Caenorhabditis elegans: one gene and its partner. The protein of the gene in region 2 purifies or fractionates together with the protein of the main gene of each other region. This does not show direct contact. Each region holds a gene or a part of one and is shown on either strand. Other genes may lie near its edges. The genes, in order: madf-3 and C50F7.3.

Evidence for each region.
Region 1: the proteins of C50F7.3 (region 2) and madf-3 fractionate together in Caenorhabditis elegans (co-fractionation; one large-scale study listed by BioGRID). This does not show direct contact.

The regions. Positions count from the first base shown.
Region 1 is NC_003280.10:4,333,020-4,339,730, forward strand, and holds madf-3 (Alcohol dehydrogenase transcription factor myb/sant-like protein), read left to right. Parts: upstream 1-1,728; 5' UTR 1,729-1,792; intron 1,793-2,656; 5' UTR 2,657-2,687; coding exon 2,688-3,251; intron 3,252-4,053; coding exon 4,054-4,132; intron 4,133-4,694; coding exon 4,695-4,791; intron 4,792-5,206; coding exon 5,207-5,405; 3' UTR 5,406-6,019; downstream 6,020-6,711. Other genes in the region: H20J04.4 (RNA helicase), read left to right, coding at 423-716.
Region 2 is NC_003282.8:7,730,123-7,734,817, reverse strand, and holds C50F7.3 (PDZ domain-containing protein), read right to left. Parts: upstream 2,490-4,695; 5' UTR 2,447-2,489; coding exon 2,435-2,446; intron 2,302-2,434; coding exon 2,200-2,301; intron 2,156-2,199; coding exon 2,096-2,155; intron 2,050-2,095; coding exon 1,976-2,049; intron 1,882-1,975; coding exon 1,842-1,881; intron 1,780-1,841; coding exon 1,621-1,779; intron 1,576-1,620; coding exon 1,471-1,575; intron 1,424-1,470; coding exon 1,185-1,423; intron 882-1,184; exon of another isoform or gene 861-881; intron 792-860; coding exon 641-791; 3' UTR 588-640; downstream 1-587. Other genes in the region: clx-1 (Basic proline-rich protein-like), read right to left, coding at 1-170; C50F7.9 (Poly-N-acetyllactosamine extension enzyme), read left to right, coding at 2,758-2,856, 2,949-3,032, 3,235-3,351, 3,398-3,517, 3,585-3,681, 3,727-3,887, 3,931-4,149; sucg-1 (Succinate--CoA ligase [GDP-forming] subunit beta, mitochondrial), read right to left, coding at 4,347-4,695.

The DNA of each region.
Region 1 (6,711 bases), on a different chromosome or scaffold from region 2:
AAATTTGAAGCTATATTTTTTTTTCGGAAAATCTAGAAAAAAAGCGAAAAAAAAACAAAAATTGCACTTCTTTTGTAATTTTCCAGTGCCATATTTTGGATAAAAAAGGAAAATTTTTAATTTTTTTTTCGAAAAAAGCGAGTTTTTCTGCTAAAAACACGAAAAAGGCGGAAGAAACATTTTTTTTCAAAAAATTTGAATTTCCCGCCAAAATATTGAATTTCCAAACTCCTTCCACTTTCAATGACGCCAAAAAAAAATATTTTCCTCTCATTTTTCACTCTCTAGTTGACTGCGTTTCTCTCTATATTGACGCAAATAATTTTTTTTTCATCATTTTTTCCCCCGTCTCTTTTCATTTCTCTACACAAAAAATCTACTTTTTAATCAATAAATTCCCTTAATTTTCGCATTTTTTTCAGGTCAGCCCAAAACATGTCACCAAATACGTCACCCAAGTGCTTGTGGCGAAGAAAGAAGCCGAGTTGAAGCTGGAAAATCAGAAATTCGGAGAGAAAAAGGAGATTAATCGAAGAAAAGAGCTTCTGATGAGTGGAATGGATGAAGATGAAGCTGATAGGCATTTGGAGGAAATGAGGACTCGAAGAATGACAAATTCCAAGAGAAAGCTGGAGAAAATTAGTGGACAATTGGATAAAAGAGATCGATTTCAGAAGAAATTGGCGGCGAAAAAAGTGAAAAAGGAAGAAAATTGAATTCATTTTAAATATTGTAATTTTTGTTCAGCTTGTGTCGATTTACGCGGCTCGTGTACTCCTCGTGGAGAAGTGCAAAATTTTTACAGTTTTTGCTCAAAATTACAGAAAACTGTTAACAAAATGCAAATTTTTGAACAATTAAAACAATTAAAAGTGGCCAAAAATTACCAAAAATTGCAAATCTCCACTTTTTCAAATTAAAATTACGGTATATTTTTGGCATTTAAAGTTGTGTTTGCGGCAAACGATTTTTTTCCGGCAAATCGGCAAATTTGCCGGAATTGAAAATTTGCGGTAAATCGGCAAACCTGCAACTTGCCGAAAAAACGGAAATTGCCATAGATTTTCGGCAAATTGCGATTTTTTACCTTTTTTTTTTTTGATATTTCAGAATTTAAATTTTAATCGGCAAAACTGTACGCATCCTATGACTATTCCTACATCTAATTTGAAAATTGGCAAATTCTATGAAAATATCTAGAAAACCGACAAAAAAATTTCAAAAAAGCACAGTTTCAAGTTTTTCCGTCTCGTAAAAATTCTTCCAAAAAATTCCTGCAAATTTATGTTCGGTAAATCGGCAGGTCGACAATTCGCCGATTTGCCGATTTTGTCGACAAAGAAATTTGCCGAACAGCAACTGTTAACAAAATGCAAATTTTTAATTTAAAATTAAAATTTTTAAGTTGCCAAAAATCACCAAAAATTGAAAATCTCATTTTTTTTCTGGGATTTAAAGCAAAAAATCATTTTTTTTTAGTGTTAAATTCAAAATTCTAGTACTTTACTTCTCCTCGTGGAGTACACGAGCTTGCGATTTCTGTTGTTTTAGATTTAAATTGTTACTTTTTTTGTTTTGTTTTGTTTTTTTGTTGTTGATTTCTTTTGAAAAAAAATCAATATTTTCTATCACATCTATTTTCTTTTTATTCCCCATAATGGTTTCCTTAAAACCTTCCTCATAATATCTCTAAAAGCCGTCTCAAAAAGCGATTGCTCTAACACTTTCAGCTAATCATGATCTCCAGTGAGCACAACTATCAGCATTTATATCACGAAGAACAATACGATATGTGAGTTTAAAATGATATTTGGATAAATTTAGAAAAATCGAATTTTTGAAAAAAAAAATCAGATTTTTCTCAAAAAAGATCCAATTTATTTTCCGATAAATTGGCGAAAAATCAACAATTTTTTATATATGAAAAAAGAAAATTTTTCTAATTGTAAGTACTTACGAAGTGCTAAAAATAATTTAATCTACTAAATAAAAAAATTAAAAAAAAACTTTTGTTGTCAAAATTTTTTTTTTTCAACAAACAATTTTTTATTTTAAAAAGGTAAAAAATCAGTTTTTGCAAACACTTTTTTTCGAAAAAAAAAAACGTTTTTTACTTTAAAAAAAAGATGTTTCTAAAAACCTTCGAAAAATACCAGATTTTTCGAAAAAATTGCAATTTTTTTAATACGAAAATTTAAAAAAGTTAATTTTCGAAACAAGTCCATTTTTTAATTATATATTCTATCAAAAAAAATTGAATTAAAAAAAAACTTGATCTTCCATTAAAAACACATTTTTTTTCGATAAAAATCTTTAAAAATCTTAAGGTGTTTTTTCTTGAGAAAAAATACTCGATTTTCTTTTTAAAAAAAACTGCGCTTTTTTTGTAAAAAATTTAAAAAAAAATTAATTTCCGACAGAAAAACTATTTTTTAAAATTATATATTCGATAAAAATTCAAAAAATCGCGTTTTCCTTTAAGAACATATTTTTGGATAAAGTTTGATGTTATCAGTTTTTTTTTTCAAATTAGAAAAATCAAAAATTCACTCAAAAAAATCCCAAAAAGCATTTTTCCGAAAAAAAAGTTCGCTTAAAAAAATCAGAAAATTATCTGATTTTTCTAAAAAAAATCATAAATAACCTTTTTTTGCAGGAACTACACAGCGACCCGCTTCGGCGAGGAAATGATCGAACCGACATTCAACCTACGTCTCATCGAAGCCGTCCGTCATAGTCGATGCCTTTTCGACAATACAGACCGACAATACCGTAATACAGAATACAAAAATCGAGTTTGGCAGCGTCTGGTTACTGTACTCGGTTTTGATGGTGATCCGAGAATGTTATCTGCGAGATGGAAGCAATTAAGAGATAAATATGGAAAAGAGAAGAGAAAACAAAAATATGGAAATGAGAAATCATCATGGCAATATTTCAAACATCTTCATTTTCTAGATCCACATATGACAGATCGAGCAGAAATATCACCATCTCGAAAAGAGCCAACTGGAGTTCATGAAAAGATTGCTGAGCCATGTTTTGGAAAAAATCTAATTCTTGAAGTGAGAAGGCATCCGTGTCTTTATGATGTTCGTGATCCAAAATATCGTCATGGAGACTGTCGTACTCAAGCATGGGGAATGATTATTGATAAACTACGATATCCTGGAACAGTTCCGTCGATTTATAAACAATGGAAGAAGCATCGAGATCGATATGTTAGGGAGAAGAGGAGGCTGAGGAATTTGGTAGGCATTTGGAGGCCTCATGAAAAGGAGAACTTATGGAAAATGGGATCTGGCAGGCGGCAGTTGCCGGTTTACCTATTTGCCGGAAATTTTGATTCCCGGCAAAGTGACGATTTGCCGGAAATTCTAATTTTAGGCAATTTGCCGGTTTTCCGGAAATTTTGATTTTTGGCAAATTGCCTATTTGCCGGAAGTTTTCATTTTGGGCATTTTGCCGATATGCCGGAATTTTTAATTTTAGGCAATTTGGCGATTTGCCCGAAATTTTGATTTTTGGAAAATTGCCTATTTGCCGGAAATTTTGATTTTTGGCAAGTTGCCGATTTGGCGATTTGCCGGAAATTTTGATAAACGGCAAATTTGGCGATTTGCCGGAAATTTTGATAAACGGCAAATTTGGCGATTTGCCGGAAATTTTGATATTCGGCAAATTTCCGGTTTGGCGATTTGCCGGAAATTCTAATTTTAGGCAATTTGGCGATTTGCCGGAATATTTTTATTTTCGGGATATTGCCTATTTGGCGATTTGCCGGAAGTTTTAATTTCGGGCAATTTGCTGATTTGCCGGTTTGCCGGAAATTTCGATTTTCGACAAATTCGGCAAGTTGGAAATTTGCCGGAATTGCCGGAAAAAATCGTTTGCCCCTCCCTGCCTGGCACTGCCAACGCACAAAACTCAATTTTTCTTTGAGAAAAAATTGGCACAGTGCCAGAATCCCCTTTCTCAACAGTATCCCGTTTTCGTGGAGCCTCTATTTTTGTTTTAAACAGAAATTTTACAAATTTTTCTTAGCAACTTCAGGGTGATCCGAATGTTCAAGATGTGTCAACTTGGGAGATGTATGATGATATGGCTTGGATAGATCAGCATTTGGATGAACGTACGAGCTTTTTTTCCTGGAAAATTAAAACAAAAAACCTTTAAATCAAACTGATCCTGAATGCCGAAATACCATAAAAGGCCCCCGAAAAAAAAAATCAAAAATCATTAAGTTTGAAAAAAAATCGGTTGATTTTGGTTAATTTTCAATTCTGACTAATCTCCTAATCATTTAAATTGCCGCGCCTTTTTCAGCGCCGCACTCCGTAGATCTGTATCTGCGCGACGTTAATTCTAGTTTTTCCCGTTTTTTCCTCGCAAGTGAAGACAATAGTGCGGATGCAGATCTACGGACAATAGTGTGGATGCAGAGAGATTCAGGATCAGTTTGCGCATTTTGAAGTAAAATCCCTCATTTACTCCTACTCCTCCAGCTTTAAAATCGTTTTTTTTCCTCAATATAAATACGAAAAAAGAGTTTAGTTTTAGAACTCTTGTTTTGACATGTAAAAAATTTCGCACCGCCATATGTGAAATTACGAATTACGCAGTTCCATGTATTATTTTACGTGGCTCCTAAAATCGCCGGAATAAATACTTTAAAAAAAACTAAAATTTTGCAGAGCAACTATCTCGATGTGCTCGAAGTCTGAAACGAGGGGGAAACAATGACGGAGGAAATCAGGATGAAATGTCAGATTATGGAGATTACGATGATGAGTGAGTGAGCTAAAATGAGCAAAAAGTTGATGAAAAAAAAAGAGGAAATTTGACTCTAAAATTGATCAACTTCTAACCAATCAGCGCTCGGCCCCTTCTCTTTTTTGAACCAATCAGCGACGACCTGTGCCGCTGATTGGTTCGGAATTGCGCGGAGTCGGGCGCTGATTGGTCGGAAGCAAATAGTGGCGGTTTTAAGACAATTTTCGGTGATTTCTATTAGATTCTCTAGAAAAATTGAAAAATTTTCAAAAAAAAAAATTCAAAGATTTAGAAAAATGAAATTTTAAAAATTTGGAATTTGCGAAAACTTGATGATTTGGTGCAATTTTTTCCGACAAGTAATCACAGATAATTCCAAAATAATAATTTTATTTTGCCAAAAAAAAAATCAATAAACCCCTGAAATTTCCAGCATAAACTACGTGATGATGGCTGAAAAGCGACCAAACAACGGTGATGTACTTCTCGACGGAGATTCTGCATTCTCTGCATCAATTGTATCGGATCTAAGGACACTTGGAGAAGAAGCACGAATAATTGCAAAGCAGCAGATTATGATACTTTTGGAATCCGCTAAACCTCCGTCTACACCTGCTCCTAATTATTTGTGATTTTTATTGAATTTTCTAGCCGAAATTTTCAATTTTTTGTCCACTTTTTATTACCCAACCTCGAAATTTCTTCGATTTTACCCCAAGCCGGGTCTCGCCACGACCCAAATTGATAAGTTGAAAACTTTTTTTTTGATAAGTTGAAAATTGAAAAAAGTGTGCGCCTTTAAAGAGTACTGTGTTTAACTGTGAATTTTTGTCGAGTTTTTCTCACAATTTGTGAAAATTTATTGTCTTTTTTATCGAAAAACTATGAAAAATTGATGAAAATTCACGAATTTTTGAAGTTACAGTACTCTTTAAAGGCGCACACCTTTACACACGCACTTAACAAAAATTGTCGCTTCGAGACCCCAGGTACTGTAGTCTTGGCGCATTTATTTCCAATTTTTTTGATCTTTATCCCATCAACTGGTCTCATCATATTTTCATATTTGTACAATATTTCTGTATCTGTATTTTTTTTTGTAATTTTTGTGGGCAGTTTCTTAATTTCCATCGCCGTCTTTCCTATCTCAGGTCCTTTTATTTCATGAATAATTGATTTTTATCCTAGAAAATTTGGATTTTTTGTTGTAAATTTACCTCTTTTAAGGTGTTCAAAACCTACTTTTTATCTGTGTTTTTTGAAAAATTTTGAAAAATTTTTTGCGGATGGGTCTCACCGCGAAGTCTGAAAGTTACACTGCAACTTTTTCCTCGCGAGGGACGAGGAAAAGTGGTTTCTAGGCCATGGCCGAGGGGCCGACAAGTTTCAGCGGCCATTTATCTTGCTTTGTTTTCCGCCTGTTTTCTTTCGTTTTTCATCGATTTTTTTCGTTTTTTCTTAATAAAACTGATAAATAAATATTTTTTGCAGATGCTAAAACAATTTCCAATTTCCAAGTGAAAAAATCATGCATTCAGTGGGCAAGCAGCGGTGAAAGTGGTCAATGTAATATGATGGATTACGGGAATACAAAACCTAAACTTTTTCTGAAACATGATACATATGATGCTTAGATGCTGAAATTACCTGATTTTCATAACGAGACCGCTGAAAAAGTTTTGAGGTTTTCAAAATTCAATTTTTTTGTGCGAAAATCTCGACTTTTTCACCAAAAAAGTTGAATTTTGGAAACCTCAAAACTTTCTTAGCGGTCTCGTTATGAAAATCAGGTAGTCTCAGCATTTAAGCAGCATATGTATCATGTTTCAGAAAAAGTTTAGGTTTTGTATTCCCGTAATCCATCATTTTACATTGACCACTTTCACCGCTGCTTGCCCACTGAATACATGATTTTTTTTACTTGGAAATTGTTTTAGC
Region 2 (4,695 bases):
CCAGGTGGAGCTCCAGAAGGGCCTGGAAGATCGGATGGTCCTTGCGGTCCTGGTGGCTGCCCAGATGGTCTCGGAGCAGGCGGAGGGGATGAAGGATCCGGAAGATCCGATGGATCCACGGCATGAGCAACGAGTACCAAGACTAGCACCCCAAGAGCTTTTCGGAACATTCTGAAATTCATATCAAATTGAATGTGAAATAAATGGGATATTAAAAAGAATATGAAGCTGAAACTAACTGAATAATTTCAATCCAGGTCTTCAAGCTTTTTATATCATTTTTTATTAGTTCAACATCAACAAATCATCTGACAAGAGTCCAATCCTTAAAGGATACACCCACCCATAGATTCAAAGTTCCACAACATTCCCATTCTTATCAGCAATTGAAGAAACACCTTTCAGACTGTTTTCTAATGATAACATAAACTGATATCATAAACAGGTATCCCTCGGCTCATTCTCTTACTGTATTTGCAACATTTCATGTGATTTTCATAAACCTCCTTTATTTACATTGACCTTTTGTTATAAACAAAAAAAACATAATATTATCATTAATATTTCTTCAAAAATCAAATGCTCATAGACCAAGTCAATATTTATGCAAAAAATCTATTTTCAGAAAAAAATGAATGAATCATTGTTGGAAAGTTGATTCAGTTTCGGCGGATTTCATTGGAGGAAGACGCACGAAAAGTCGAGAATTCCATCCACTTGGCACATCTCCTTCCTTTACTTTTTCTTCAATTTTCAGCTGAGAGTGAGCAGATTCATTGCTTTTGGGAATTCTGGAAGTAAAAATAGAACTAATAATTTAAAACAAATCGGTCAAATATTCTAATGAATCAAGCACTTGCACATCTTAGAAAGAGAAGAGACTGTGGCGTCCCGTGTCAATTATATTTAAAACCAAACTGAAACCGTATTTTCTATAGTTGACAAAATGTTCATTAACCAATATTTTCAATTAGTGCTGCACCCCATTCCTCAAGTTCTCTTTTGTTTTAAGAAAAATTGTCAACTGAAGAAATACGTTGCAAATATTTTTCTAAAGTTTTGGAATTTATTGTTTTTTGAAATTTAAAATGAACCGAGAAATATCTCTTTAAAGTGGAACAAAGGGGTGCAGCACTAATAGAGAATGTACGGTATAAAAGCAGAAATGTGTATTTACAACTTACGGCTCTGCTAACAAAATTGGCTTCAACTGTTCACCACCGCCAAACTTTCTCAAGACTGCAATTCCCTCAGCTCCATAAGCCGCTGCATCCGGTGGCAGTTTGTGGATACGTGGAGCTTCTTTCACTGTTTTTGTGATCTGGTTTCTCAGCAGATTTTTAAGTGGATCGGTCGATGGAATCTCAACAGTAACCAAGCAGTAGTTACGGATCAATAGAGACTTTCTCACTCGTTCATTGAACTATAATTTGTTTCTCATAGAATAATATATATGCACACAGAACTCACTCCAGTACAGGACAAAGGCTTTTCGCCATCTACATCGAGAATTGTTTCTCCAACACTAAATGTCATGTCCCCAAGTGAGTTTTCAACAAGGTCACAGACAACAATCTAAATAAAATCAAACAAATTGAAAACTTCTAAACTTTCAGAAACCTTTCCTTCGATTTCTTTGATGTCAAGACCGAGATGAAAAACTTTTTTCAGATTATACAATACCAATGTATCAGTAGAATAGCTTTCATGCTTTTGGAGCGGCGGGAATCCGGAAGGACGTGGAATGTGTCTTTTGAACCTAATCACTTTGTATGTCATCTGGAGAAAAACAAATTTCGATCAGAAGTATTCGGGATTTCTGCTCCTGACAGATAGCTTACTTTAGCACATGGTTGTCCATTGATAATTGTTTGAATGAATCTGAAATTAATTTTAATGCCATTTTTCAGTGTGAACTAAGAATTCTCGGGGGAACGTCACGTTGGAATATCTAGGTGTAACATTGTTTTATTACCTTGCCAATACGCCTTGGCCTCCAATCTGATACCCATTGAGATAAACAAGAATGTCTCCAACTTTAATAAGACCCTAAAAATATAGATTTTGAGACAATAAACGTTTTCCGTATACATACCGTCCATGGACTCTCAAATGGTATGCTAACAACAACCGAACTTTTCAGTTCAATTCCTATCTGAAAGTGATATGCTTATCTTTTGTTATCCTTTTAATACTCACGTTATCTTCAGCCTTGACTACTGTAGAGAATTCTAGAGTCTCAAAAAGATGAATTGGTGGCAATTTTCCACCACCGAAAGCTTTTTCGAGACGGGATTTTGCCTGAAAATTGTGTTTTCCTATGATATAATACATAACTACATCGTCTACAATTGTGTGCCTACGTGGAAGACCTTACGCCATATTAAACTTTGAAAAGAGCTGCAGTTTTATTTCAAACATTTCCAAAACTTACAAAAGCGTCCATAAGTGTAAAATCACTGTTCAGGCGTAGGAAAATGATAAGAAATAATAAGAATTGCCAGAGTCTCGTTTTCTTTTTTTTTTCAAGCTAAATTTTTTTTTGAATAAACTTTTTTATTAGTCACGCTTAATTTCATAAAAAATAATAAGTGTTTCCACTCTCATAATATATTTAAATCGGAATATTTTTGAGTTTTTGTCCAACATTGTTACATTCGATAAAGATCAGATATTTGATAAAGATCTAGGAACACCAAAAGCTAGACGCACTTCCACGAACCTAAATGAAACAATTCAAATAAGAATTGAAATACAATGAAATCGATACGATTCAATAATCCACTCTTTTTTATTGTTCTTGTATTCGTTATTCAATTATCATTAATAATTTTTCGGGTCGTATTTATAGGAAAGGTATGTCAGAATTAAGACTCTTTGTTAACTTTAAAATATGAAGACCTTTTTGAATTAATAAACAGTTTAATGATATTAAAAACTATTTCCAGCCTGCATCGTCCGTTCGCGCAGCCCGTGAATGCCTACACATTCAAACAAACACTGCTGAAACAGATGATCAGTTTTTCGGAAGGGTATGCCATTTTGAAAATGGCTTGCTGTTTTTCTGGTTTTGAATTTGTGAAGATATAAGATCAAAATGATGTGATGACTTTATCAACTGATAAGTTCAATTAAAACCCACTTCTTTGGTGAAACTGAAGCTTGATTTCTCTTTTTATCTCAAAAATGAAAACTTCCTGAATATGATAAATATCAAAATTAATGTTGTTTAAGATGTGGCCTTCACTTCATCAAGTGGTTGATAAATGCTCATATCGTCATTTTAGAGATCGTGTAAAAGTATTCGGATCTTCTAAACAATACATTTTATGGCTCAATTGGCTTGTCGATGTGAGAATATTTGAATTTTAATTTAATCAAGAGTTTGAATTTTCAGAATAATGAGCACATGTGTAACTCAATTTTCATTCACAATTCAAAAAGTATTGCAATGGAAAGAGAGTTTAAAAGATACAACAGGAAATGTGTGATATATTCTTTGAGTGATAAGCATACGGTACGAATGAAGTTTGCTAGTTGAATATAATAACTTTACGAATTAAAAAAAAGGAAATTAATTCCAGGAAACCTCACACTATCAAGATCCTCGATATAGTGTCCTCACATTAAAACAAAATGTGAGCTCACAAGCACGGCATTTAGGATGGGGAGTTGATCATTGTAAGCATATTACTTGTTCACGTATGAATATACAAGATTCTTCAGATGCTCGAGATTCGAATGCAGTTGATTTGACATACTTCACAGTTGTACAAGTGCATAAACTACGTTACGATTCAGTTAATATATTTTACGATGGAAGTCAACATATTAAAGCTCTGTTCACCAAATCTGCATTCGATGAGGCAAATCTGGTATCATGTCAGGTAAAAATTCAAGTTTGATTATCGTGTGCATAATTAATTTCAGTTCAATATCCTATACGATAGACCAAAAGGCCGTCTAGCTCGTCGAGAATTCCGTGCAACATGGAAGAAGCTTCTTTATGATAGACGGTATTTTGTGGCCAGTGTACGAAGGATCAGTGGAAGTAATGATAAGATATCTATTCTTCTTCTTAATATTTGCGATCCATATTGTTGGGCAAAATATATCAGTAATCAACCATTCCTTGCCAAAAATGTGTGACTTCTATAAATGATTTTTTTTTTAATTTAAATTCTAAATTCTAAAATAAAACAGGAAAACACAACGGTAAAGAAACAACAAGCTCTACGGAAAAATCCTAAAACAAGAGTAAATACCCGAGAATACAAGAGAAAAATGAAATGATTAAGGGAAAATCCTAGAAAGTAAAATTATAAACTTAAAATGAGATGTTTCGATTATTTCGGAAGAGAGGAAACAGCTTTAGCGGCGGCTTCATCCAAATTGTTGGCTGTAAGAATTTTGAGTCCAGACTTCTTCATGATTTGTTTAGCGGCATCAACGTTAGTTCCTTCCAAACGAACAACCATCGGCACATTTAATCCAATTTTGTTCACTGCACTAACAACACCATTTGCAATGGTGGCACAGTTGACAATTCCTCCGAAAATGTTGATAAGAACACATTTTACACGTGGATCAGAAGTAATAATTCGGACTGCGTTGAAAACAGCATCCTCTGTGACTGCTCCACCGACGTCGAGGAAGTTTGCTGGTTCACCTCCGTGAAGTTTGATGAGATCCATG